Lonchura striata: one gene and its partners. The protein of the gene in region 1 binds, or shares a complex with, the protein of each later gene. Links are inferred from orthologs where the notes say so. Each region holds a gene or a part of one and is shown in the gene's direction. Other genes may lie near its edges. The genes, in order: NRXN1, CASK and LRRTM2.

Region 1 (10,008 bases):
TCTTCTGATTACTAGGAAATTATATCCTTGAGGAAAGTAATATATATTTAGTGTACTTGGCACACTTTTAGTACAGCTAAGTATTTGTAGAATACTTGAATTATAGCAAGTATACTCATTTTTCATAAGTGTAGAGTAACACATTGTAAAACAAATTATTGTAATCAGAGATTTCTGGAAGTTCTCAAAGATCTTGATTCAAAATGGGACAAATTTCTACCAGTAGCCTCCACCCACATTAGCAGAGAGTTGGAGCTGAGGGGATTCAGCACCTTTGAGGGAAGTTCCCTGCTAAAACCCAACCCTGCAGCTGTGGCAAAATGAAATTTCTTTGATTGCTTCTGCTCATTTGCATACTACAGCTATGATTCAGGCATGCTGATAAATGATACTAGAATATCACGTTGTTCTGCCAGTCTTGCTATTCATTGTTTTTCAACTTTTGGGAGCTTTGCAAAGGAGTTTGTTTTTTACTCAGAGCCCACACTACAGAGACCACCCAGAAGCTTGCCTAAAACCTGGGGGTCATGAACTCACTAATGTATCCAGGCAGCTCTGTGAACCCAGCAAAGAGAATGAGGAATGTGGTGACGATGATGAATGGCTTTCATGGAAATTTATACAAATTATACACAAATGGCATTCACATAAATTCCATATAAATTATGCAAATTACTTGGGAGTACGAATTTAGTGGGATTTTTAAAAGGAATTATGGGAAATTTTATAAGTAACATTTAGAAAAGTCTGTTAAATGTTAAGAACTTTGAAAGAAATATGAAGCAAAATATTTTAGGGTTTAAAATAAACTCTCTTGGGGAGTGCTACAAAATATTCATCCCACGTCTGCCTATGGTGGGATTTCTTACACATTTCATTCAAGGAAGTGATTTCACAAACAGTTCTGGGATGAAATGAGCTTCCAAGTTCCTTTGGTGAGTGTTGTTTGTTCAATGACAACACGCAAGAGTTTGCTGCTCTCTTCAATTCTTCTTATCTAAGATTGTCTGTACTTTCCTGCTTCAAAACTTTCCTGCTTAAAAACTGCTGCAAAGCATTAAAAGGCAAGCAGTTGACCTAAAGAAGACCTATGTATTCTAAATTAATTATTTTCTTATATTTTTGCAGTCAAAGGCATTATTTGCAGTGTTTACGTGCATTGTTCTTAAATACAAATCTATAAGGATGTCTTTGAGATGTATCTACTGCTTGCATTAATATTTGTATATGTTATGCCACATTACTGCATAGAGATTCAGAGAAAATGACCACTTTTTTGAGACATGAACATGAGGGCTTATTTGAAATTAATAAAGTTATTATTATGAAATTTACATTTTTTAAAATCACAGTAGTGATGTACAAATCCTTACAAAGTCTTATATAAAGAAAATCCTGCAATCACCTTCTTGTTAAGAGTTAATATGAAATCAAATGTGCTTTGGAAGCCAGTGGATTTCTCCATTCTCTGTTTCATCATGCTTTGTACAGCTAATCAATACCATTTGCCAAATCCAAAATATTTATTGAGAAGAACATTTTGCATCACTTTGACTTTCTTCATGGAGCTTCAGTGAGACAACTATTGCTACGTGTGTCATACCACAGCCCCTCTGAAGGCTACTGAGGATTCACCAAGAGGGCTGGCTGATAGATGAGATTTTGTACAGCTCAGAAAACCTAACATGGGGTATTTCATTACAGATTTCTCTTGGCAATGTGTACTGCTGTGCACATCAGCCAAGCCTTGTGTGTGAAAGTGCACTGCACCTGCAGCTCTGAGAGTCAGAGCCAGCAAACTATAGGGTTTTGTCATGAATGATGTCTTTTTATATGCACTTTAGGGATATTTGAGGTCTTGGTAGCTTCTGTATTCTTCACACTATAAATTATGGTCATTATGTTATAGGAATATATCGTCACACAAATCAAGTTTTTCCTTTAATGGAAAAAAAAAAGAAACAAACCTAAATCCATGTGTTGGATATGCAATTCTGAATCAGTAATAGAAATTTAATTCAAAGTCTCATACATGTTTCATATACACTTAAATACCTTTTTTATGCTTTGAACTATTAAAGTGGTCTGTTTTTCCAGTGTTGCAAGCAATTTCATGCAATGAAACTCCAAAGCCAATGAAAGGGAATAAAAGGCATCCAAATTAATCTCTGAATCATCTCAAAGTTTTCATCTTGGGGATCAGATTGAGATTACTATTAATTTTCTTGAACATGTTTCATGTTAAGTTGTCACTATTACAGCAAATACAAGAAAGCAGTTCTTTCCAGGGAGAAATGTGTAAGCCTTGAAATTGTGGTTGGTTGAGATTTTTTATTGACTAAGACTCCACAAATATGTTCTGATCCTCAGATATGTTTATGCATTTTCCTACCATGTTTGCTTTCCTTGGATAAACTACTTTTGGACCCACAAAGCCACCTAAAACTGCATAAGTTTCCAATCTTCTCTTCATGACTAGAACATTACATCACTAAATACACCTGATACCTTCTGCAATAGCAGAAGACTGGGAAATATGATTAAATTCCAGTACTGAGTATAAGGTCAATAAATATTTTAAATCATCATAGGTGTGCTCCTGTACTTTATTATTTATCCATTCAGAATTAGTATTAAGCAAGTTTTTAACACCTTAATCCTCCAAAGTTAGTTATAAGCTATCTCCAAAAACTCATTATCTAGAGAAACTATCAAATCCAGAGAGTTGCCTCTCTGTTCCATTTTCTGATTTCAAACATGTCTCAGTCAAATACCTTCAGTACTTTATTTCATTATTTGCTGTAATTAATTTTGTTGAACTACATGGACTTGATTCTCTCTTTTACTTCAAGTTTCTAAAGCTTCAAAATTTTCTTTAATTACTTTGAACTGAGCAATCAATGACCTATGTAACACACTGGCTTTTTCCAAGGCAGGTATCTTCTAATTTCTCATTTTAGATTTGCCCATACTTGATTCATCCACATCTGAGTAATATGGCAGTTAACAGGCAGAAATTACATCTTTTTTCTCCACATCTCTTTAAACCTCACTGCCTGTATGCAGATACAGACAATTGCATACAGCTCCCTCAGTTCTGCTGCACGTCTACCTTGTCCCATTTGTTCCTCATTCCAGACCAAGTTCAAAAAACATTATTGAATTGTTAAAAAAAATTGTACTGACTCTCTTCCAAAAAAACACTTCTATTCACACATGCAAAGGGTCAAATTTCTGGTGGGTCTGAAGCTCTTCTCAAAGATTTGATTTGGTATAGAAGGATTACTGATGATAGTTTCAAAGCAGGGAAATATGTCAGGCATATGTTGCATTATTATAACCAGAACAGAGCTTTCATGTGTCCCCAAAATCCAGCCACTCCAATCCCAAGCACTACCCACGACCACTTCAGTAAAGAAACAGGTTTATTCTCTTCCTGTTATCTTCAGTCTCAGAAATAACTTTCTCCCTTTTCATATCCTTCTCATGCCTGCCTAGATAGCCAGTGTTCTCTGGAAGAACTTTTAGTTTGATTTTAATTGTGGGTTTTGCGGGATTTTGTTGTTGTTGTTGGTTATTTTGTGTTTTATTTCTCAGCAGAATCATTCTTATTTCTTCTGCAGTGCCTTGACTGGTTCCTTCCTTTCTTATTAGCTCTGACAGCCATGGCAATTGCATGTGCGTGCCTCAGAGACAGCTCCAGCACTCACTGCAGCTTGCCAAAAGATCTCTTATTTAAAATTACAACCGTTGGACAATTTCACATATGTACTTCAAAGGCACTTTGTTCTGACAATACACATCCCTCCAAAAGGTCTCGGACTTGCAAGTTGGATAATGTACTGCGTTCTCCCTGACAGAAAATAATTGGTTTGTTTTCAAGAAGATCCTTGCTGTTTTTATCTTTTACTTTTCCAAATCTATAAATATTTTGGTATAAAACAGAATGTTAATTTATGCAGAAGACAGTCAGGTTTCTGTAAGGCCATGTGTTTCTTACAAGATATATCATATATTTGTCAAGCTGAAAAACCTACAGAGATGGTATGGAAATCATATTTCGTTTTTTTTTTCTCCCTCTTTCTTGTTTTTCTTTTTCTTTTTTTTTTTTTTTTGTGCTGCCTCAAAATGAATCAACTATGACACCATATGCTGCAACAATTGCTGAGAATGACAAAAGTAATATATTTTTCTCAACAAAAAAGCACCATTAAATTAAGGAAATTGTATTTCCCTTAAATCTTCCTGTATCTTCCTGGCTCACTTAACATCTTGTTGTTTTATTTCTGTGTAGGCTCCTGCCAGCCTTCCTCTTACTGTGGCAGGCTTCCTTCTGGAGAAACATGAGCATACTCTGGCTATTGCTGGAATAACTGAGATGTCCTTCACTTTAAGGGAGAAGGTGGAAGAATCCTCCACCTGTGCCAGAATCCTCCACCTGTGCCAGCACATTCAAGGTGCATTGGCCTTGGACTTTGACATTCCCCATCTAACAGCATAAGAAGTTCTCCCTTGTGCTCACTGTGAGCCTAATAAAATAAAGCTACAGTTAAAAAATATTATAAATATATAATGTGTACACATTATATATATTATTATATATACATATATATGTATACATATATAGACAGACGAAAAAATAATATCAAGTTACAACTTTGCTTCTTTAAAAATGTGTATCACTTATCATGTTTCACCCTACAATTTATCTGCTTTTCATAGCAGAAGAATTATTTGCTCCTTGCTCTGCTTGAAGGGGTCAAGTTACTAGAATTATCAAGAGAAATCCTCACTCTGTTTGAAATTAACTGGATGTGGATATCAGTTGGCTGAACAAAAGGAATGTTTGATTATGCTGTAAGCACTTAAGATACATTGCATATCTAGGAAGCTTTTCTTCTCATTACTTAACATGTTGCTTGGTTACTTCATCAAACTTGTCGTCTGTGAGGAAACCCATTTCATCAAGAAAAAAATAAACCATAAAGCTAACTCCACTGGGACTGAAATGGAAGAAAGGCCTTTTATTTATGCTTATCTCTGAAGTTTCATTTCAAAACTAAGTTGCTATGTTCACACCCCAGATATGTAAAAATCTAATTGCACAGACCATTCTCAAAAAAATTGTGTCATGCCCCATAGAGGAGTGCTCTTCTGACCCTCGGTGTGACAAACATCACTCCGTGTGTTCCAAAGTTGTCAGGACCCTCGCTAAGGATTCATGCAAATCCCTTACAATCCATTCTTCACCTTTCTGTAGGCCACAGGTACTAAGTTAGAAGGCCAAGAGATAGAGATAAGGTTTGGCACGATCAAACACTTCCCATGCCACTAAACCCAATGATCTTGAGAAGCGCCTGGAATTTCTCTAACAGTTCACCACCATTTGGAGACAACACAGAGGCAGGTAACTTTTATGTTGGAAAATGGCTTTCCCAAGCATTTCTCCTGTGGTTGTGGCAGACGTGGTCCTTGGCGGCGCTCTGCTGATGAGATTATACCTGAGTTTTCCCAGAAGCTGAGCAGAATTCGGCAAACCTCAGTTCCGGGACATGAAAAAAGATGACAGAACGATAATGATAATAAAGATTATTATAATGATAATTAGTAGTAGTAGTAGTGGTACCACCAAAACAACAACAAAAGAAACCCAACCAACCAACCAACCCTCGCCAAACTGAAAGAAACCACCAACAAAAGAAGCCCCAAAGAAAGAAGAGCTTTGCCCGGGAAGCCGGCAGCTCCCTCTGGTCCCTCGCCGTGTTGCACCAGCGTTGCAGCACCTCTCCCTCTGCCCATACGACCCCTCCGACTCTCCCCAGCCGGCAGCAGCGTGCTCGCCCCCCGCCCCGACCTCGCTTCTCGGCGGTGCCGCCCGGCGCAGCCTCCCCCGCGCGGTCCCTCCATCCGTGCCGCGGCGGTGCCGGTGCCGGTGCCGGTGCCGGTCCGGGCGGGCTGTGTCGGGCCGGGGCGGGGTCCGCAGCGCGCACGGCGCCGCCCCCGGCGGGCAGACGGGCGCGGCGGCGTCACGCGGCGGTGCCGCCCCCCGCTCCCGGCGGCCGCCCCCGCCCGCCGCCGCCGCCGCCGCCGCCGCCGCCGCGCACCCGCAGCAGCGCCCGCTCCGCTCCGCTCCGCTTGGTCGGCGGGCGGCAGAGGCAGCCCCGGCAGCCGCGCCCTCCCCGGCCCGGCCCCGGCCCCGCGGCCCCCGCGCAGGTAAGGCGCGCCCGCAGCGCGGGCGGAGCGGCGCCGCGGAGGACCAGCCCCGCTCCGCCGCGGCGGAGCCGCTGGTGGCGGCGGTGGCGGTGGCGGCGCGAGAGGCTGGTGGGTTTGCGTGCGGCGTTGTGGAGAGGTGGATGGCGAGGAGAGGAGATGGTGGAGCGGAGGTGTAAGTTAAAGGTTGGATGCGGTGATTTATTGCCCCTTGCCGAGGCGAGGGGAGGAGGGGAGAGGGGGTCTGCGAGACTTGAGCGATAAAATCAATCTGCTGCATGTTCTCCCTGGCGTGAGCTGCCGTGGTGAAACGCGAAGCCGGGGCAGCGATGGGATATCGCAATATTGTTGTTATTTATCGGCGGCGGTCTGAAAGAGACGAGGGGCTTGTGCGGGAAGTGCATTGATAATTTGGGACATTTTCTATTGTGTGACAGAAGAAAGAGGGCACTCGGCTTCTTCGATACGTGTTTGAAACTGTTCAGGTTCCTGCTGATGGTGTGCATTTTTGCAGGGGTAGAAATTATATCATAAGCATATTAAAATAAATACATCTGCAGACTGGAAGGAGAGCAAAATCGATCATTCCAGCCGCTTTGGAAAGATTTTGATTCTAGAAATTACGTAGAAATGAAAGGAAAAGATTAATGATGCTGCTAAGTCTGCTTTTGAATTAGAGCGCTTCTCCCTTTGGCTGCAGCAAGGTTGTTTTTCAGATCCTTTTATTTCATCCGGTAATTTGTGAACTCTGGTCTTCCCCGCACCCAGAGACAATGCTCTGTATTTCATACAATAAGGATTCTGCCAAGGATTGTGCATGCCAACCGACCTGGCATTTATTAAGGATTTATTGACCTATGGGTGTCTCTCTCTCTCTCTTTTTCTAATTTGAAAAGGCTCAATCGGGGCACCTGTGACTAAATCATAATTTTGGAAGAAAATAAAATGGTTGTAAAGGGGTGGGGGAAGCATACGAATTCACTGGCGAGGCTCTGAATGCAATAGCTACATTTATATTGGTTTGTGCATATTTCTCGCTACATATGTGTGTGTTCATGGATACATCGCTGGGAGGGACGCCTGGTGCTTAAGAGCCATTTGAGATAGATAGATACATAGATAGGTATATTTTAATAAATTGTCCTCTTCCGAGAATGACAGTGTCCCTCTGCTTTAGAAATGACTAGACTTGACTGTGCTGTTTATTGGCAATGTGTGAATTATATGGGCAGTAATAAATAAGCAATTATTTGCTGGGCTATTTTCCCCTTGGATCTTTCTCCTTTCTTTTACAGTCATTCCACCTCGTCTTTTTTTTTTTTTTTTTTTTCCTTTCCCTCGTTTTTTTTTTTTTTTTTTTTTTTTTTTGTCTTTTTTTCTTTCCCTTCCCCGCTCTTGCCGCCGCTGCTGCTGCTCTGTGTGTGTGTGAGTGAGGGGGCAGGCAGGCGCTGCAGCCAGCGGCAGGCAGCGGGCAGGGATGCTCGCGAGGTGGGATCCCCGCGCGGCGGCTTGTCCGCGGACACCTGTAGGGATCGCTCTGGCACGCACGGCGGCCGCGCACACACTCACACACACTCACACTCACACCGCGTCCTTGCCTGGCTCCCCCTACCCTCCTCCCCACCCCTGACAGCCACCACGGGCTCTTGGCAACCTCCCGCTCCTGCGCCCCGCGCACAGAGGCGCAAACCCCTTCTCTTCCTCCGCCCCGCTCCTCCTGCAGCCGCCGCGCCCGCCCCGCTCACCTTGCGCCCCCCTCCCCGCCGCGCCTCCCGCGTTCCCTCCCCACCGCCCCTTCCCCCGGGGGCCAGCCCAGCCCCAGCAGCTGCCCGGTGACCCCCGTGAACACACATACACATAGGCACACACACACACACCCCGCGCCTCTTCCCCACTCACCCGTCTCCACAAACCTCTCCTTTCCCCACTCATCACCTCAGGCACTCCTCACACATAGCCCCCTCCCTCCTGTCTTTGTCCCCGGGCCCGCACGCCGTCTCTCACACCGCCAGCCAGCACCCGGCTCCCCGCACCCCCACACCCCCCAAACCCGCCCCATCACCGCCTCCCTCCCCTCCGCCGCAGCGGGGCCCCGCGGCCTCCCGCACGCCCCCTCCCCGCCCCGGGCGCGCCCCCCGGGCTGCCCCTGGAGCGCAGCCCCGGCGGAGCGCGGGGGCAGCGGCGGGGCCGCTGGGGCTCGGCGGGCGCCGCCGCCCCGTCGGGCCGCGCAGGGCGGAGCTGTTCCGGGTGCTGAAGCAGGAGCTGCCGCTCGGCGCCGTGCCGCAAGCCAGCGGCGCCCCAGCCCGCGGCCACCGCCGCGCCCGGGAGGGCCCTTTGGGGAGCGGGGTTGCGGGGGCTCCCGCCGCCGCTCCTCTCGGGAGCTGCCGGAAAATCCCTCGGCTGGTAGCGGCGTTGTCAGATGTGGCTCCTGCCGAGGGGCAGGGAGGGCGTGGGGGAAGCCTGGGGTCTGCCTGCTGCTGGTGGGCACGCCTGGCCTCTGCCCGCGAAGTTTGGGGGGGGTGTTCTCCTCTTCTCCCTTTTGCTGCTCTTGCCCACCTCACGCGTGGCAAATAATAAAAATAATCGTGTTGACATTTAGAGGAATGAAATTAAATATAGAGAGAGTAGGAGGTGACTTAGCAGCTCTGAACGTGTCAGGTGCAGGCAGCTGAGGTGTGTGCCTGTTTTTAAAACGTTTCTCCCTGGCAGGGTCATCTCTGCCCCCTCTCCCCACACACGCATATACACACACACACGCACACACATCCCAGCCCAGAAAAGGGCTTGGCAGCAGCTCTGGCCGTGCTATTGTGCCTGCCGAAGTGCTGCTGGCAAAGAAACGTAAGGGAGGGGAAGGGGAAGCGATGTGTGAGGGAGGTGTTGGAGATCCTCTCCTCCATCAGGAGAGGTCTGCTAATACACAGCTTCCAGAAACGATACAGCAGCCCTGGGGGAGAAAAGCAGCCTGTCCGCTGAAACGTTTTGGATGTAGAGACCTCTTCAGAGGATAAGGGTGAACTGTGGCATATATATAATTTTGAAAACAGAGGAGTTATTCTCTCCTTGTTCTCTTAAATAAGGGCAGCTGAGTAAATAGACATAAAATACTGCAACCAGTTTCAGAGGACTAACACCTGGGATTAGCTGATCTGCGTTGTGAATAATGTCAACATCAGAGCTGGCTTGAATTGGATTTTCCGTGCCATAGCAGAAAATACCAGCCCCAGAAGAAACCAGGTAGCAGAGAAAAAAAATGTTTTAAAAAACATTAAAAAAATGCAAAAAGCCATCTAAGAAATTATTGCAATTCTTCCTCACCCCAGGAAAAATAAACCAGTAGGTGTGCCATGCGTGGTGGAGCTTGTCAGTTCCTGCTGGGAGCTCAGGCCACTTTATTTTTTTGACCTGTATTAGAAACAACCAGAACTAGGCTTGGTACCATTGTCCGTATGACTAGTACCTTGTAGCTTCACAGGTGATGGCATTTGCACAAATAAATTAAAATTAAATAAATTGCAGAATAGCCACTATCTTTTCTGTTTGACTTTGTTCTTGTAATAATAAAATGCACTACAGAAATATTTGAAAGTTTTGGAAAGGTAAGTAGTTTACATTTAGATTATACCATAAAAATGTAATCTAGTATAAACATATGTGTTGAGATTTGTCTTTAGCGCTGCAACCTATCACAATTTCTCAGTGACCTGAAAATTACAGCAGCATTTTCCTAATGTCCAACACCAGTCAAAAAGAAAAAATAATCATAAATGTTCGCTATTGATCAACTTTGTGATTCAA
Region 2 (9,577 bases), on another chromosome or scaffold:
AAATGCAAGAAAAAAGGAAATAAAGACATGAAAGGAAAATAAAAGGGTAATTAGTTTTCTTTTTTTTTTTTTTTTTTGGTGCTAGTACTTTGCATTTTGATATTGTCTTTATAATGTGATTTTTAATTATTTTTCTCTATGTAGGTGCATGAATGTAGCATATGGTTGCAAATGATGAAACGATAACTGGAATTTTTAGTTGGTTTTATTACCTGGTTTTAACCCCTGTAAGACATTTTTAATTTAAGAAAAATTCAATAAAAGCATCCTGGAGAGATTTCCTCTGCATTTATTATAATTTAATCCATACTCATCAATGAGGAAAAGCTGCAGCTGGGGAGAAATAAATAAACACCTCCAGTAATGAAATCAAGACACAGCTACATGGTACACAAGGAAGGGGAAAATCAGCAGAATGGCAAGGAATAACTAAAGAAACTCCATTAAATAAGGGTTTGTGTAATTTTAAAGTATTCCTCTCTCTTTTGATGTTGTCAGCTATTCTTACCTGGGACTTTTTCACCTTTGGAAGTTGATTTTGAAAGGTGACTTGTGATACTTCTGAAAGTGTCATATTGGGTCAGCTTTGGTCTAGTTCAATGCCCATCTCCAGTAGTGTTACCATAATTTCTGTTTAATTATGAGTGCAATCTAATTCCAAATGAGGAAAGTGACTTTTTCCCTAGAAAAAACATGTCTGGTTACTGGCCCTGGGTCAGTGTGAGCCATGTCAGAGGAAGGGGATGTGGTCACCATGTCTCAAAGGCAGTGAAAGCAAATTTCTTATTCCAAAGAGACACCTCTCAGCCTGCTGGCCAGGGAAAAGAGGTTTTGCCATGTTCACACTACACATAACTTTTCCAGGAACTTTTGAACCTGGCGGTCAATTTCAACAGAATTAATCAGGGGCAAGGTACAGATCCCTGAGATAAGCTCCAACTGCTTTTTGAAGAGAAGTGGCTGCAGAAAAGAGACCTGGTGGTGGCTTCAGTGAAGAAAAGTGACAGTGAGAGTCTCCTTCTCACCAAGCAATGGAGAACTGACACTGTGAAGGAACTTAAAACCAACTCCACTGGGGGGGAAAAAATGCAGCTGGAGATTTATCTTGCCAGACAAACATCACTCACCTGTTAAGACAAGCATTCGTGGGAAACCCTGCCTCCTTAATTACAGTGTGGCATAACTTGTGTGCTACACCTGAGCTCTGCAGCTGCAGCCTACCCTGCCACATGGCAGATTCTGAGCTGATTTAATTACAGACTTTTGCAAGAAATCATTCAGACCTACTCCAGGTCAGCTGATGGCTTTTGAAGGCTCTTTTCACTAACAGTTTTTACAGGGACTGCAAATGTCCCTGTAAAATATCCCTGAAAATGTGCCTGTGATCAAAACACTTTTCATTTCAACCAAAACATGTTTTCTACTGCCCAAAGTATGAACAATTTTCAGCTCACAGAACTGACCCACCTAAACAATATGGCAGTTTGTCAGAAACCCGGTAGGCCTGCAATATTCTCTTTTACAAAATACTAACAGCTCATACTCATCTTCAGTGTCATTCTCAAACTTTTTAAGAGGGAGGGAATTAATATCTGGGTTACAGATCAAGTACCCAAGACCCTGTTACAATTGGAATCTGAGGAACAGGATTTGGTGCTTTCTACATCTGTGGGATAACAGAACGCTGTCAAACCACTGAAATTTCTTGTTCTTCTTCATCGTGTACTTTTTACATCAAATTTTAAATGAAAACACAAAGGCTCTTTGGATAACTGATAACTACTGCTCCAAAACCAATTTTTGAACAACTTACCTGTCCTGTGGCTCATGCTGTGCGGACTGTATGCGAAAACCCCAGGTGAATAAAATTTGAAAACCCCACAAAATTTTAAGAAATAAGTTTTCTAGTGCCCGAGCCCACACTCAGCTACTCCTTAGCATTTTTTGAATGCAAAACTGGTTAACCTAAACATACACAATCTTAACCAGCCTGTCCAGAATCTGGCAGACAGGTAGCTGAAACACGTGCAGTGCTTTGGGAAAGGCTACCAGGGGCTGTAGGGCATTTCCTCATGTGAACACTCAGTGTTCTCTTACTCTTGCCTGATCAAAAAGTCCCTCTCCCAGCTCTGAACCAACTGATCTGCTTTCAGACCATTACCTCGCCAGTAAATAATTTCAGGTCTCAAGTGCAAAGTCACTTCTGCTCGTATGCCAAACATTATGGTTACACACTTTTTGATGAGATGTTAGATGTATGTATTTCAGAATTATTAATTTAATCCCACAATCTGTAAGGATCCACACTGGATAAATGGGTGAAAATCAAAAATGCTTGCTTACGAAAGGGAATGACTACTTTTGAACGTGTGGCTGGAATTTCTGATCACAAACACACCTGCAAATGCTCTGCTTGGATTATCATGCTACTGGGTCCTTCTGGCAGACCAACGCTCATATTTTCCTGAGCCCATTCAATCTGAAACAGAGTAACAGCACAATTCTCAATTGTTCCAGTAACTGCTGATGCAGTGGCATCTCTGCTGCATTTACTGGCTCACTGTGCAACTTTTTATGATCCAGATCTACACCAAAATCCTGGTTCAGACAGATTCTCCTCATGCAACTCAAACGGGAGGCAGCACCCATGTTCACTCTTCCCCTGTACTGAGTGAGGACAGGTTTGATAGATCCACCTTGCTTCTTTTGAGCCTAGTGAATGCTAAGGCTGCTCTAGGACCCCTCAAGTCAGCCAGATGCCTACTGGCATTCCCTGGATGCCAGGGAATGGATCACCTCTCTTCAGCAAAAGCTCATTTTTGTTCTGTGTCTTCCAACTTCCTTCCCAGGATCACAACAAACCCCCAGCCTGTGCCCCAGGACCTTGTACTTTAGCAGAAAGCCACATTTATGTGCTGCCTATTCCCAAAACCAACACAAATGTCCAATGAAGGTTTGCTCTATGACAATATTTTGGCACAAAGGCCCCCATATATTATGCCTGGTAAACTTTTATTCAGTTTAAACTGTCTCACCTGGGCAATATGGCCTGGTGTGACACCAAGCACTCAGCATCCAGAGGGAGGCAACACCTCAGGTGATGCTGCTGGAGCAGCCAAAGCATTTGCCCCAGCTCAGGAAGAGATCCACCACCAGCAATTTTCTTTCTTGTGCACTTTTGAATTGTTTTTTTTATGTTAACTTCTCATGACGGCTTCACAGACAACTCCAGCTCAAAGTCTAAGTGAACACTCACCCATATTCTAAAAATTCTTTCTGAGTGACCTGTGTGGGACTCAGCCTTGTGGGCCTGCAAAAGGAAAAAATGGGTGCCCACGTTTAGCTGTGTGAAATTTAGAGAACGGTTTAAATATATCAGCTTTTTGTTTGCAGTCCAAAGAGCAGATGGTGGTTTAAATATTTTTCAAAGGTTTGTATGGGATGGAGCACAGACCCACAGGAATGTCTCTCACCCTTAAGATAGCACTGTGCAGTGATGTAATTATTAGATATAATTAGTTAGATGTAATTAAATAGATGTAATTATTTTCACTGGTTTTCTTATTTTTTTATTACTTTTAAATTTTTTCTGGAGACAGGAACAAGGTAAGGTGTTGTCAGCTCTACGTTTTAAAGCCAACCTTTAAACCATTTCATCAGATAATTCTGCTCTGATAGTTTTTTTTTCCTCAGTCTGGGGAACAATTCCATAATTTACCTCTGTTAATGAATTTTGGGAAGTTGCACGTGTACTACTGTACCTTGAGAGAAATAAATACTTTCTGTAAACTGCAAGAGTTCCCGACTAAACCCTTCAAGAGAGCTTTGCTTTCTTCAACAAAACATCCAAGTTTTCAAAAAACTTGGAAAAGCACACACGTGCAGCATGTTAAACACCATGGAACAATGAATGGTGCGAGCATGGGGTGATTTAAAATCCACCCGATGTCTCCCGCGCGTTGTTCCGCGCGGCTGGAGCCAGCGGTGCCCCGCACAGCTGGAGGAGCGGCTCACGGCGCACTGCCACAGGGCGAATTCACTGTTTTAGGGATAAAGAGCGGCTCTCCCAACAACACAGGCGGTCCGGTTCGTGCCGCAGAAAACACTTGCATCCCGCTGGAACACACAGAAGGGAAAATAAAGCACGGGACAGAGCCGTGCGAGCCCGGCTCGCACACGGCTTCTTCACCGCCACTGCCCGGTTTCCTGCGAGCGCGCGGCGCGACCGTCCCCGTGCCGGCCGCGGGGTCGCTGGGGGTGACGGGGGCGATAATGGCGATAAAGGCGATAAAGGCGATAAAGGCGATAAAGGCGATAATGGCGATAAAGGCGATAAAGGCGGTCAGGGCCGCACGGGCGATAAGCGCGAGCGGCACCCGCGCCCGCGCCGTGACGTCACACCCACCTCCCCCTCCCCGCGCCATGACGTCACCGCGCCTGCGCGAGCCCCCTCCCCTCGCGCCTCCCCGGACCCCTCGAGCGGGCGGTTGGGGGCGTGGCTCGCCGCCCCCCCACCCCGCGCCCCGCGCGCGTGCGCGCGCGCGCCCCCCGGCGGCGCCCGCCCCCGTGACGGGGCTTGCGTGACGGCGGCGCCGGGAGCACGCGCGCGCGCGCGCGCCCGCCCGCCCTTCGGTGCCGCGAGCGCCTATCGCGAGCGCCTGTCGCGACCGCCGCCTCGCCGCCGCCTCCTCCTCGCGCCCGGGAGCGGAACCAGCGCCCGCGCCGGGGCTCCTCCCGCCCTTCCCCCTCCCACTATTATCCTCCCTCCCGGCGCTCCCGCCCGCCCGCCCGGGAACGCGCGCCCCGCTCCCGCCCGGCGAGGGAGTGACCCGGCGCTGCCGCCCGCCCCGATCCCCTCCATGGCTCCCGCGCCGCCCCGCTGAGCCGGAGCCGCCCGCGGGAGCCGCGGCTGAGCGCGGGAGGGAGGGGGCGGGAGGGGGGTGGGAGGCGGGGGCGCGGGGGGTGCGACACGCGCGGGGAGCGGCGGCGGCCGCGGCAGGAGGCGGAGGAGGAGCGGCAGGAGCGGGGAGTCCCGGCGCGGCCGCGGGAGCCCCGGGCGGGCGGGCGGCGCTGGGAGCGGCCGGGATTTACCGTGGTGGCGGTGGGCGCTGAGCGGCGGGGGAGCCGGGCGTCCCCGGGGCCGCCGCCTCTCGGGCTGAGCCCCCCCGCCCGGACCATGGCCGACGACGACGTGCTGTTCGAGGACGTGTACGAGCTCTGCGAGGTGATCGGCAAGTGAGTGCGGCGGGGAGCGGGCAGGGCAGGGCAGGGCTGGGCGGGGGAGCGCTGCCCCGCGCCCCCCGCCCGCACCGGGCACCGGGATGCTCCGCCCGGGACCCACCTGAGTCGCCGCCGGCGGGTCCGTGCGGGGTCCGGGTCCCCCACCCCGTGGCCGGTGCCCACCGTCCTCGTCACACGGGAGGCGGAAGGGGGAGAAGTGACCCCATGTTTCCTCAGCCACCATGATTAACCACCTCGCCATCGCTCAGCCTGGCTGCAGCAAGCGGCAACCACTTCCCACCCCTTTTCTTCTCCTCCCCCCCGATATCCCATTCCTGGCACACCCATCAAGGATTGCCTCTTGGGGAAGGGAAGGGGAAGATAGCTCTCCGTAGATCCACCTATTCACTGGGTGTCTTCATATTTGTGCGCCAGGTGTTGGGTTTTCCTCTTCTTTGCTGCATAATAACCAGCTTGGTAGTGGCGCTCGGGTAGTGCTCGGTTCTCGTCCAGATCCATCACTCTGGTTTTTGTGGAAATGGAGATGTACAAGGCAGGAGGAGTGCTTGGCCTTTTGAGTCTTATTATGCAACTGCTGTTAAACCGATGCTCGAGGCTTGTACGAAACCTGGGAGTTGAGGCTCTGGCTGGCGTTACCCAGCTGCTGTTTCGGGTTACCACTGTTGGATGAAAATGACAATTCGAGTCACCAAGAAAATGCAGAGACTCCCCCAAATCAGATGGCGATAAAGAATTAAAGCTGAACTCCATTCTCCCCTGCCCCCGTATTTCTGTCACTGCTCAGTTTTGAAATGCATTCTTTATTTCTTCATCATCTTTCATTTATTTTCTCTAGTTGTGTCTGTGTTGCAAAACGGACAGCAAATATACAGTAATACTGTGACTACCTAATTTTCTGTGTGTCTGATTCCAAAGCTGAGATTGCTCTGCAAACCTTAATAGTGATACTGTTCAGTGTGCTTGGAGTTTTTTCTTCGTGACAATGGATTTTATGAGAATAATTGACCGTGTTTTGGTTATAAACAAAGAATGTTTCCTGCATGTATTCTCTTGCCCGCTCTCCACCCTGATGCTTTTCAGTGTACATGGAGTGCTGTCTGCTTCCAAAGCCAGGGCTAAAAATATTTTAGAATTAATCTTTTCTCGGGATTATGCTGAAATGTTGGTCTTGGACATAGCAGGTGGCTTTGTTGTCAGCAGAAGTTTCAGCACTCGGTTCTGTTGTTTCACAAGACACTACCACCTTGCTCCTAACACAACTTTTAAAAATATTAAGCTCCAAGGGCCTTGTTTGCCATCATAAATGGAATATGATTGCTTTGACTTGATGCTGTTGAGGAGCAAAACTCTTGTAATTGAAGTGTTTTGAATACAATTTTTGGCACACTCCTTTCACAAGTGGTTTTATGCTAACCACTGCAGTTCACACTCGGTTTTGTTCCTGCCCGATTGCCATCAGGAGGAAGGTGCAGTGCTTATGCATGACCGCAAACCCTTTCAGAGGATGGATGATCGATTCGCAGGGGGCCAGATGTTTGCACATCTCCACCGACTTTTTGTTCCGCGGCTGGAGAATTTCGAAGGGAGAGCTGAAAACCGGTGGATTAGGTGTTAGCTGCAGAAGTTCCACACGAGATTTGGGTAGTGTAGAGGGTGTTGTGATGTAACTAGATCTAACAGATAAATATTGAATCACAGCAGCACGATGATGCCAAGAACACTGTAGCAAAAACAGGGTGTATCACTGAAAATAGCAACAGTGGTGGTGTGAAGGGCTGATAGCTGGTAGTGATTACTCAGGTTTTTCTGAACAGATGTCAAGTCTGTCCTCTAAAAAAACCCAAATATTTAAAATATAAACACACAACTGTCATGTACAATTTATGAGTGGTATTGCTATTTCTTTGCAATGCTATACAGGTAAATTCCAAGGGACCAGAGGTGCAGCATCTTTATTTAGCTTATAGATTCTGGGTACCACCTTGCTTGTCCATAAGAAACTTCAGGAAAGCTGCTGTAAATCTGCTATGAATGGCTACATATGCATCTGACCAAACATCTTTCAGTGAAATATACACTAAATGTCTGCATGTCCCTGGGATTTGTTATTGATTGGTACAGTGATTTACTTCTTGCAGCTAGCACATCTGGCTCTGATTTGCATTTTGGACACATGAAATACTAAAATGTGTAATTTATCTTTCCTGAATAGATAGTTACCACTGTCACTTAAGGTAGTAAAAGGTATTTTCATAAAGGGTGTGGGAAAGAGGTCATTGCCTGTAAAACGTCTTGAGTGTTTAGTCAAAGTTGCCATACAATTTGCTAGAGAAATCAGGAGATACTTTCCTGGCTGACAGTAGACAGTCCAATTTGTTGAGGCATATTCTGATCTTTAGGATAAGCTTTAAACACTTCTAAATACAATAAACTGATAAGACTGACTTTGAGTAAATGCAGCAATAATAGCTTTTGGTGAGGAACAATTACAGGGTAGTAGTATATGAATGAAGTGATGGGAATGGCAATGATAAACTGTTTATTATGTGACATTTAGTGTGTTTAAGTTCTGCAAGCATGCATTTTTCATTTTTAAGGGGTGTGGGTGGAAAGAAAGGCCAGGAAGGATAGAGAGAAATTCTAGTTCATGTTTTCATTAGAAAAAAATGTTAGGGGAAATCTTATTTTGCATGTATTTCCAGTATACCTTTCCATTGCTGAAAGCTATATGAAGATACAAATTGGAATAACAATCTCAATTTCTCATTGAACTTTTTAAAGTGGCATTTATGGCACTAACATTAGTCATGTATTTTTACTTAACCAAACGTGTTATGTTTGAGGTTACTCTCTTCAACTGGCACAAACATTCTTCAACAAGAAGTAAGTTGGGGATTTCTTTATTAGCCTTCAAAAATGTGTTGACATATCTCAGGATAAGTGATAGTGATGAAAAATACAAGTGTGCCATTTTTTTTCTAACTTGTTTCCAGGTGAGTTTGAAGAGATTCTCTCTGTGTATTGGTTGAGAAGTACACAGTCTAAAATCTTTAAGGCTGTTCCTATGTGGATCAGACCATGTGTTTGATTGACAGCTCACAGATAGTATTGCTAAGTGTACTTGTTTATTTTTTATTAGAATTTTCATTCAAAATGCTTTGAGTAGTTTATAAAACATAGTAGGTGTAAAATTGAAACATCTTGGCTACTCATCCGAGGTGCAGACTGTTCTAGGAGCTCCACATACATGTAGCAGGAGTTTTCTTTATGCCAGAGAGAGAATGCCTGTCTTCAGTAGGTGTTGAATCTAGAAGAGTGAGGCAAGGGTTTTATGATAGAGCCTTGTTCTGCAAGGACTTTATTTTAAATTACCTGGTTTTACGTTTCTGTACCTCTTAAGATCCATATCAGTTTATATTAGCATTAGAGGAGAACCATAAAGATTGTCTGACCTTTCTAACAGTAGGACTTGCTTAAAATTTCTCCAAATGTTTAAGTTGTAAATACAATGGGATAAAGATGATAGGCATTTATTTGTGTTTAAAAGGGCTTTGGTCACAATTGAAGTCATTAATCCTGGGGTGCATTGGGAAGAACATAGCTGGCAGGTGAAGGGAGGGGATCCTGCCCCTCTGCTGAGCCCTGAGGATCACCTGGAGTGCTGTGCCCAGCTCTGGGCTCCTCAGGACAGGACAGACTCGGAGCTGGAGCAGATCCAGTGGAGGGTGACAAAGATGATGGAGGGACTGGAGCATCCCAGTGAGGAAAGGCTGAGGGAGCTGGGCCTGTCCAGCCTCGAGAAGAGAGGGCAGAGAGGGGACTCATCCCTGTCTGCCAGTGTCTGCAGGGAGGGTCAGGGGATGGACCAGCCTCTGCTCCGTGGGGTGGTGGGACAAGAGGCAACAGGCAGATTGATGCACAAAGTTCCACCTGAACGTGAGGAAGAATTTCTCTCCTGTGCAGTGACTGAGCACTGAACTGATTGTCCAGAGAAGGCATGGAGTCTCCCTCACTGGAGATACTCCAGACACATCTGGACACAGTCCTGGGCCATGTGCTGTGGGTTGACTCTGCTTGAGCAGGGAGGTGGGACCAGATGACCCATAGTGGTCCCTTCCAGCCTGACCCATTCTGTAATACTAATAGTCACTGAAATGGTACATTTCTGCAATTTTTCTCTTCTGTTTCTGGGCCATATGTGCCATTGTGTGTGTAGTGGTGCAGTTGTTGGCATTTCCAGTACCCAAGGATAGCATGATGTTTGGTGCTGATGCTGTCCAGGACGTTCTCTGCAAACTTGGTTAAGGTTAATTCTCTTCTGCACTGCACGTTAAAG
Region 3 (9,675 bases), on another chromosome or scaffold:
CCAACTCCAACCAAGGTCCTGGAGACAACAATGTTGAATTTTGCCCAGCTGAAGTTTCCTGACCATTTTTTCCCCTGCATAATAAACACTGTATTTCCCTGCTACATAAACACTGTGGGGCCAACCAAACCCCATTAGGACCTGGTGGAACACATGAAAACCTGCACAGCCCATGGCAGCACAAACCCTCCTGGGCACAGAAATATGCTGAGGTACTGTCACTTTGTCCAGGCTGCCACACATGTTGGGAATTTTACCCATTGGTTCCACCCTACAGTTCAAAAGTCCTGTTTGAGCTGGGCTCCCTCTCTCAAGCAATAAATCATGTTTTAAAGGCTCCAAGTGCCAGTTTAGCTCTTCTGGGTAATTTGTTCCACTAATCAATTAGCCTGACCATTAAAAACTGGTCCTCATGTCTAGTGTGAACCTTCACTGAGGAGCTAGCTAATGACCCAGCAGCACAAGGCAGCCCAGCCAGCAGCTCCTGCTATTCATGGGATTAGGAGGACTCACAAGAGTGAAGCCCAAATATTCAGATTTCTAATAGGATTTTTAGATATTCAGCACAAAACTCTGCTGAGGGAATCACAAACCCTGCAGCCAGTGAGTAGCTAATAGATTCAGTAGATTTAATAGGGTCATGATGACCATTCAATCATTCTGCAGTACGATATCCCAACTCTACCAGTATCATGGATAATAAATTTAGCCACGGTGCAAATTTACTTTAAATTAAATCTGATCTTTATCAAAGAGGATAGAATTGATGTTAAAAATCACTCATTTCTCCCAATCCCTTCATCTCTGCTCTTCCCCCACCATTGCTACCCTGCTTGCAGAGCACCACAAGCATTCCCTGTCACATCCCTGCAGTCCCAGCTCACACCATCATCCCCAGAGGGGACTCTTAATGCTCAAAGCAAAGAAAGGGGATTTGTACACAGGGAGGGGAGCAGAATCACCATTTCTGTCTTAAAGCCTTCCTGCTGTAGGTGTGCCATCTGAATTCAGACAAGCAAAAGACAAACCCAAGCTTTTCCTATAGCTATGGAGGTTAAAATCCAATCCCAGCTGATTTATAGAGGTACAGGAGCATGGTGGTGGTGGTGCATTCCACCAGGATCAACAGAGCATGTGCTGTAACCAGCTACTCAAATATATGTTCTTGTAGCTAAATATCACAAACATCTGCTGTTAATCTTAAAGGTTTATCATCAGTTTGGGTTAAGCTGAGCCCACAGAGGTATTGAGGGAGACTGCCTCCTGCTCAGCACCAATTCACACCATCCCTGCAGAGCCCACCATGCCCCCTCCCCAAATCAGCACCCAGATGTAAACCAGATGTGCCACTGCTGAGAACCACCACTGTCCCACCTGCCACCCCTCACACAACCACCAAAAAGGACGGTTGGCAGAGAGGTTTCTGCTTCAGGTGTCTGGGAATTGACTTCTGGGCTGTCAGTACAACAGGCAGCATACTGATTAATGACTGGGACTGAATAAGTTACAAGTGAGTGCTCGGCACACCTTCCTGTGTGCAGGCAGTGTGTCACTGTGAGTCACAGTGTGTCACTGTGCCACCTCCGAGCTCTGCTGCCAGGGGACACAGGACATCAGGGCTCGGGTGCATTTTGTCCCATGCTTGGTTTTCCTTGCCACCCAGCCTAATTCTGTGTCTACAGAGGATAACCATGCACCGCCCTCCATCACTGTGACAGCACGGCTGCCAACCAACTCCAGCTAGAACAGGGCTGATTCAAGGCCAGGCAGTGTGAGCACTGAGGCGTGACCCACACGAATTCCAGCAGTGTTTTCACATCCAAGGTGTGCTAGGAGGAAGCAGGACTGTGCCCTGGTTTGCTGCAGGAGGAGCTCTCTACAGCCAGCCCACAGCTCAGCAGAGCAAATGGGCTGCATGGCATCATCCAGGCTTCAGCAAGAACCTGAGTCACAATAAAGCTGCTGCACTGCCCCCCTGCCCAGCGGGCCATGCCACAGCACTGCCACCCTGACATCACTCCCCATGGCCAGGGAAGGGTGGCTCCTGTACTCACCCTGCCTCAAGGAGGAATTACGAGCAGTGCCAGGTGCAGAGAGCTGCCAGACAGGGAGGTGACAGCCACCATGCTATGCCACCACATGTGCCCTTTGGTCCCATGAAGACAAGGACACCCAACCCTCAGTGCCCATCCCTCCCACTGCCCTGCCCCAAAGAACTCTGCAGCTGGCCTGAAGCCCTGGGCACAACTCTGCTGCTGGGTCACCTCCAACATGCCTTTGTCCCAGGTATCCCCTCCTAGGGCAGCGAATCCAAGTGACAGAAGGTGCATGGTGACACAGCCACACGGCCCTGCTCACCTCCTGCCTCACAGCTCTGTGACACAGCACAAACACAACCTCCTGGCCAAAAAGCTGCAAATCCTCCCATGGTCCCCAGGGTGCTAACACCCAGCAACAATTCCCACGGCCACTCCTGCAGGCAGAAAGGTGAGCTGGCTGCTGTGCAGTGCCACACACGTGGCTGCCTGTCCTGCCTGCTGCAGTCTCAGTGCAGCTCCCGGGCTTGCACCCTCCAGGCTCCCAGCACAGCAAAGTCACGCAGGCCCCACATCTCCATCCAGAAAAATTAGCTTGTATGTTGTTCTTAATAGACTAGGAAGGCTTCCACAAGATGTCAGCCTAACTAAATGACAACGCTCGCCTCAGGGTGCAATTCTACTTTCCCAGCACATGGGTTTAGCAGGAAAACCAGTTGTGCTGCTGCTCCATGAGCGGGGTAGGTGAGAAGCCCTCAAAAGGGTTATCTGGTCCCAGTAAGCTTATTCCTGCCAATTCCCTGTCCACATTGCATATGAGGGTTCAGGCTGCCATAAAGTTCCTGCTGTGGCCGAAGCGCGCGGGTAGCATCAGATATGGTTTTTCATGCTGGGCAATGAGTATTCAGGCTCAGAAGAAATGCATTTGCATGAGTTTTGGGGGTTTTATTCCCAGTCTGTTGCACCCTGACACCCCAGGTAGCTCCTAAGGAACAATGTGAATGTTACTGCAGTGTTCCAGACTTTGGAGACTGAGATGCACACCTGTGGTAATAACTGTTATTTCACAGCAAGTGCACATAAAAACATGTTTTGCTAAGAAAAGCGCCCATAAAGTTTGTGTTAACAGTTTCCTAAACAGGAAACTCGCTGGCAAGGTGCTAAATAGCCCTTGTTTGGTTAAGGGCCAAAGAACGGAGAGCTTCAGAAAAGGAGCAACTCACCGTATTTGAACATTAACTCTTAACTCTGTGCCAAATTACACAATCTTAATGTGGGAGGAACCTACCAGCAGATATTGATGCAAAAAAGCAAAATGTTTCCAACGATACCTAATGTCAGCCTCCTGGTAAGAGGGAAAGAGGCAGCACTGGGGAGGGCTAACAGTTGACCTTAAACAGTTGTCCTTAAACTATACCCTTTGGAATGCTGTTGGTAAATGTTATGTAATATATTGAAATGTTATTAGAATTCAAATCAACACCCTGGATCAGGGTGTTGCACAGAGCTGATCCAAGAAGCCTCCACAGGTGCTGCAGAGCCACGGTTCTGTTGGACAACTGGAGCTGAGCCTGAGCTCTTTGTACCCTGAACACAGACAAGAAGAATCTCTTTAAATAGGTTTACGTAATTTCTTTGCATGGATTTCTTTCACACTGAAGCAAATGTGAAAACATTTACTATGGCAGAGCAATTTAAGAAATTTATCTAACATTTCCTAATTTGCTTAATAAAGACAGTTACTTTCCTGATGGGTTCAGAGTAGGGTTTATTTGTTTTGCTTTAGTGTTTTTTGAGGTTTTTGAAATTTTATTCTTGTGCGTTCATGTTCTCCATCCCTTCACTTTCCACTCAGTAATCCCCTTGAGTCTGCCCATCCCAGTAAGGAAGCAGCACAGGCAGTGTCACCATTCCACCACAGGACAGCCAAAGGAGAAGCAGGCAGAGAACAGCAGGTCTTGGTTTAAGCAAGGATCTCCAAGGAACCAAAGCAAGGAACCAACACTTAGTAACAAAGGTAAACAGCCATTTTATTTTAAACCCTTCTTTTGACACAATTCATCTTACTCCATCATCATGGGAAATTTGTTATTCTCAGTTCATTCCAGACCTTGGAGGTTAGAGGTGATACCTCACTGCTACACAACAAACATTTTCAAATGCCTCCTCTACATTATTGCTTTATATCTCACGGAGAAAATTAAAAAAAAGCTTATCCAAGTTGCCTGGAACAGGAAACCAGCACCCCCCTGCTGCACCCACATCGAACTATGACCAGAGCAGTGGCTCCAAAGGCTTTACCTGCACGTGCATCTTAAAAACATATAAAAATGTCAATTGAACCTGGTCATTTACCTTTCAGTACCAGTTGTCCCAGAGGAGAAGTTGCTCTGAAAAATGGGGCAATGAACCTTTAAAGCAAGGAAACAGCCCTAAGAGCCCCCTGTCCTCCTGGCTGTGTGTGCACGCTCTGGCCAGAGCCCAGTGGGGCTGGAGAGCACACACACTCTGCAGGGGCACATCTGCAGCCCTAAACCCCCAGGGTAACTGTTACAGACCCATCCTGCAGCCAGGGGCTCCTGGAGGTGCTGTCCCCCCCTCTAAGGGGGACACACAGCAGCAGGACATTGTGGGTGACCACAAGGAAGCCCTCGCACAGCTCTGAGCCCTGACTGGAAATACCAATCTCATCATTTCTGCCCTGCACTCCAGCGCCCAGGAAAAAGCAAGTATAAAACCCACCGTTTGGGAGGAGAAAATAGATTTTCTAGTTTCATAACCACACACTGTCAAGCTGGATTCCAATTAAATTTTTCCTGTGCCTTAACGCAACCTTTGCTTTTTCCAGAAATTTCTCCTGGCTTGAAGCACTTGCTCCTGTGCCCTGCTCCTGGGCTGTACTTCCTGACACTCCAGCTCCACCACTGCTCTCTGCACTTCTGCAGGAACCACAGTCACACACAGCTGTCACACGGAGCTCTGAGCTGCCCAGTCTCTCTCACCTCCATGAAAGCCAGTGCTGACCAGCATCCTCTATTCAAACTCTGCGCATTTTGCAGCTCAAAGTTCTTTCATGCAGGGAGATTTAGCAGAAAAGTGGGAGCAGACAGCACTCGGGCACTTCCATCCGCGGCTCTGCGCTGCTTTTAACCCCAGCTGAGCAGAGCCGGCGCAGATGTGGGGGGAGCAGGGTGCTGCGAGTCCCTCCTGCGCCGTCTGTCCTGGGGACGAAGGACTCCTGCCGCTGGATTTTCCCCCTCTATCAGTGGTCTCTAACACGATCACAGCGTGCAGCACAATGCTTTAAAACAGCAAAGCTTCTGGAAAACCCAAACAAAAGGAACGTCACCAGGTGACGTCAGCCTATATAGAGCCCTGTGTGGTCGCAGCGCATAAGCAAATCCATTCTTGTACCGCTTCCCTGAAAAGCTTTTCAGTAAATGCACTCATGCTACTACAGGAGCTTCTCTCAGCAATAAGCCACCCATCTGCCATCAACAAGTTAGGACTAAAGGAACCCACAGCTGCGGAAAAGGAAAACGTGAGCTTCAATTAACCAGCTGAGCAGCCACAGAGGACGAAAACTTGTATTAAGATTTAAAAATTGCAGACCTGTCAGAGGAGATCAAGGCAGCAATTTCAAAAGGAATATTCCAAGAGAGCATCGTGGATTTTGCACTAATATCAAAGGACACTAAACCCAGTCAATTATTCAAGGCTATCTTACATTAGAGCCTTTCACAGACTCACGGCGTTGAGTCTCAAACTACGACTGAATGCACCCTCCAATGTACTCAAAAGAATGGGTAAGTTCTTGCGTTTCTCTGTTCCTTGTATAATGAATGACAGCTCTGCTTTAAAGGAGCAGTTAAGATGCTAAAGCTGATTCCTCAGCACTGAACCTTATGAAAAAAATGTTTTCCGATAGTGCCCTCCGTAATCGAGATAAAGCCTCCTCCTAAGTGTAATAATGTCCAAGTATTCGGTTTGTTGTAGTAAGTTGTTTCTTGCATTTAGAATTAGCTTGTTGGAAATGCATGGCAATGTTATCTGCAGTGAAATCTTCCACTGTGATATTCCAAGTGTACTGATAAGGCTATCCTATCTTGTTGTTTTCCTAAATTATATTCTGCAGGCTTACATTTCAAGTGGCCATTAGGGGCTCGTATGCTGGCAGCACTATATGCAATGAGTATGGTTTTAAAAATGCTGCCTGCCTTGGGCATGGCTTGTCCACCAAAATGTCGCTGTGAGAAGCTGCTCTTTTACTGTGACTCTCAGGGGTTTCACTCAGTGCCAAACACCACTGAAAAGGGCTCGCTAGGTTTGTCACTGAGGCACAATTATATTTCTGAACTTGAAAGGGATCAATTTGCAAGCTTCAGTCAACTTACTTGGCTTCACTTAGATCATAATCAAATTGCAACAGTCAGAGAAGATTCTTTTCAAGGACTGTATAAACTTAAGGAATTAGTCTTAAGTTCCAACAAAATCTTTCATTTGCCAAACACAACTTTTAGCCAGCTGCTTAACCTGCAGAATTTGGACCTCTCTTTTAATCAGTTATCCTCTCTGCACCCCGAGCTCTTCTACGGCCTTCGCAAGCTACAGACCTTGCACTTGCGATCCAACTCCCTGCGGACCATCCCGGTCCGCCTGTTCTGGGACTGTCGTAGCCTGGAATTCCTGGATTTGAGCACAAACCGCTTAAGAAGTTTGGCTCGCAATGGATTTGCGGGATTAATCAAGCTGAGGGAGCTGCACCTAGAGCACAACCAGCTGACAAAGATTAATTTTGCTCACTTCCTCCGGCTGAGCAGCCTGCACACACTCTTCTTGCAGTGGAACAAAATTAGCAACTTGACATGTGGGATGGAGTGGACCTGGGGCACCTTAGCAAAGCTCGATTTGACTGGAAACGAAATCAAAGCCATCGACCTCACCGTCTTTGAAACTATGCCTAACCTTAAAACCCTCCTCATGGATAACAACAAGCTCACCACTCTGGATTCCAAGATCCTGAGCTCGCTGACGTCCCTCACCACCGTGGGCCTCTCTGGCAATCTGTGGGAATGCAGCCCAAAGATCTGCTCCTTGGCCACATGGTTGAGTGGCTTCCAAGGTCGGTGGGAGCACTCCATCCTCTGCCACAGCCCCGACCACACCCAGGGAGAGGATATTCTGGATGCAGTGTATGGTTTTCAGCTTTGCTGGAATTTATCGACTGTGGTTACCCCCGTGGCTACGACGTCGTACACAGCTCCAACTACCGAGTACACGAAAAGAATAAGCTCTTCTCATTTCCATGTGGGAGACAAAGAGATTCCAACTACAGCAGGCATGGTCGTTACCACCGAAGAACAGTTCCCCGAGCCAAACAATGCCATCTTCACTCAGAGGGTAATTACAGGAACAATGGCTTTATTGTTTTCTTTCTTTTTTATCATTTTTATAGTGTTCATCTCCAGGAAGTGCTGCCCTCCCACACTAAGAAGAATTAGGCAGTGCTCAATGATTCAAAACCACAGGCAGCTCCGATCCCAAACGCGGCTGCATATGGCCAATATGTCAGACCAAGGACCCTATAACGAGTACGAACCCACCCATGAAGGACCCTTCATCATCATCAATGGCTACGGACAGTGCAAGTGCCAGCAGCTGCCCTATAAAGAATGTGAAGTATAATACCTACAGCCCATCACAAAGTAAATCAGATAAGTAACCTACTTGAAAATTGTAGGGACCTACATCAGATTCTAATTTTTACAAATGTTGACATAAAGCCTAATTTTCCAAGCTACTTAATGGAAACATTGTTTATGGAGTGGTGCAGTATTTTTAAGTTTTTTAAAAAATAAATCCATAATATTTTCAGTGTTAAAGAAGCAATGATTACATTCAACTTGCACTCCTAATGTTTAAAAGTCTAAAGAGATGCTCACCTCAAACAATGTAAAATGTTTAATGTTATGTAATTATATGACTGTGTGTAAACATTTATACCTGAGTCTCCATATTCTACTTTTTCTACTGCAATCAGTTTTATGGGAAGGAGACTGGATATCTGTGCAGGGATCTGTGGGGGACGTGCGCTCCATTTGTTCCACTGCAGCTGGAGGATCCCAAACACTGCAGCTGGCTCCGGGCACTTTAAGAGCAGCCCGGGAGGAAGATTTTCCTCCTCTGAGCATTTCACTCCAGTAAGGGAAGGTAGGGAAAACAAAAGGGAAAAAAAAAATAAAGAGGAACAAAGGTCCAGGTGGGAATTTCAGTGCATTGGGGTGAATTTATCTGAAATACGGTTTTGCTCTGTGCATGTTCATGGCTCAGCTTGCTAAAAGGGATGGCAGGCACAGAAAGGAGCAGTTCACACAGCACACACAGGGACACACAGCCCCAGACAGGATGTGCACAAACACAGGGCCACACAGCCCTAGGCAGGATGGGCACACACACAGCCCTAGGTAGGATGGGCACACAGCCCCGGCAGGATGGGTGCATACACAAGCATGCACACACACAGAGTTCCAGGCAGGACAGGCAGACACACAGTCCCAAGCAGGATGGGTACACCTCCAGGAACAGGATGGGCACACACACACACACACAAGAGCAGGATGGGTACAAACACAGCCCCAAGCAGGATGGGGACACACACACACAGAGCTCCAGGCAGGATGGGGACACACACACACAGAGCTCCAGGCAGGATGGGCACACACACACACAGAGCTCCAGGCAGGATGGGCACACACACAGGAACAGGATGGGCACACACACCCACACCCTCCCCCCCCCCCCCCCCAGGAGCAGGACAGCCCTTTCTGTGAACCCAGATTGGCACTGCAGCTTCTTTAGAGAGGCTCAGCACGCTGAGATCGATTGAAAATATTAAGTACATTCAGTCCTCGACTCCCTGGTTTCACTTGATGATGCTTTTCATGAATTCAGGCTAATTACTTAATGATGATGAACAAACAGCATTTCAGCACCTTTTCATGTGTAAATACCCTTAATGCAAGGTTCTCTTAATTAAAAGCAAATATCAACAGCAAGGTTAAGGAGAAGAGGGAAGGAAGAAAGGAAGGAAGGAAGAAGCCTCTCTTTGTCCCCCTGGTGCCCCCCCAGCTGAGGCTTCCTCTGGCTGGGAAGCTATTTTCATGCACTAACTCCACTGGTTTCTCTGGAGACAGAATTAGCCCCTGTAATATAAGCTCTCACTTGTCCTCCTCTTCCAAAATTCAAGATAAAAAAAGACCCCTTCTGATAATTTAGGAGAATATGATTAGTTTATAGGATAGTTCACTGAAAAATATTTTATTTCTTACTCAATATGGGACAGAATCTAAACTAGTATGACTTTTTAAAAAATCATATATAAATATATATACACACACACCTCATTCTAAGAGGTAATTTGATTTCTTTAGCCAGAAGTACCATATTGCTATTTATACTCTATTATGGAATTATATGTAAATATTTGCAGATCTATGCAGTGATGGTGGTACTCAGATGCCACGAGGGTGGGGGGGTGGGGGGTCTGCAAAGGATTACATTATTTTTAAGTCAACTGCTCAAATATTGTACACATTCTAACCAAAGCTAAAAGATTCAGAAGGATGGAGAATTATTTTAT

Evidence for each region.
Region 2: the proteins of NRXN1 (region 1) and CASK are in contact, whole or in part, in a crystal structure (PDB 6NID), measured with the Homo sapiens proteins. The link is inferred for Lonchura striata from reciprocal best matches to the Homo sapiens genes NRXN1 and CASK. Residues at the interface, in NP_001317021.1 of Homo sapiens: Lys468, Glu469, Tyr470, Tyr471, Val472; in NP_001354650.1 of Homo sapiens: Pro500, Met501, Gly502, Ile503, Thr504, Leu505, Lys506, Ala516, Arg517, Val549, Gln553, Leu556.
Region 3: the proteins of NRXN1 (region 1) and LRRTM2 are in contact, whole or in part, in a crystal structure (PDB 5Z8Y), measured with the Homo sapiens proteins. The link is inferred for Lonchura striata from reciprocal best matches to the Homo sapiens genes NRXN1 and LRRTM2. Residues at the interface, in NP_001317021.1 of Homo sapiens: Leu139, Val158, Thr160, Arg236, Gln237, Leu238, Thr239, Ile240, Asn242; in NP_056379.1 of Homo sapiens: Asp343, His344, Gln346, Gly347, Glu348, Leu351, Asp352, Ala353, Gly356, Phe357.

What each region holds. Positions count from the first base shown.
Region 1 is NC_134605.1:21,541,168-21,551,175, reverse strand, and holds the start of NRXN1 (neurexin-1), read left to right. Parts: upstream 1-6,194; 5' UTR 6,195-6,213; intron 6,214-6,258; exon of another isoform or gene 6,259-6,385; intron 6,386-10,008.
Region 2 is NC_134604.1:110,080,654-110,090,230, reverse strand, and holds the start of CASK (peripheral plasma membrane protein CASK), read left to right. Parts: upstream 1-5,076; 5' UTR 5,077-5,176; coding exon 5,177-5,235; intron 5,236-5,341; coding exon of another isoform or gene 5,342-5,482; exon of another isoform or gene 5,483-5,499; intron 5,500-9,577. Other genes in the region: uncharacterized protein LOC110474871, read right to left, coding at 5,342-5,482. UniProt on the Homo sapiens protein: Multidomain scaffolding Mg(2+)-independent protein kinase that catalyzes the phosphotransfer from ATP to proteins such as NRXN1, and plays a role in synaptic transmembrane protein anchoring and ion channel trafficking.
Region 3 is NC_134617.1:16,785,254-16,794,928, forward strand, and holds the start of LRRTM2 (leucine-rich repeat transmembrane neuronal protein 2), read left to right. Parts: upstream 1-5,413; 5' UTR 5,414-5,812; coding exon of another isoform or gene 5,813-5,838; coding exon 5,839-5,842; intron 5,843-6,171; coding exon 6,172-7,721; 3' UTR 7,722-9,675. UniProt on the Homo sapiens protein: Involved in the development and maintenance of excitatory synapses in the vertebrate nervous system. Regulates surface expression of AMPA receptors and instructs the development of functional glutamate release sites.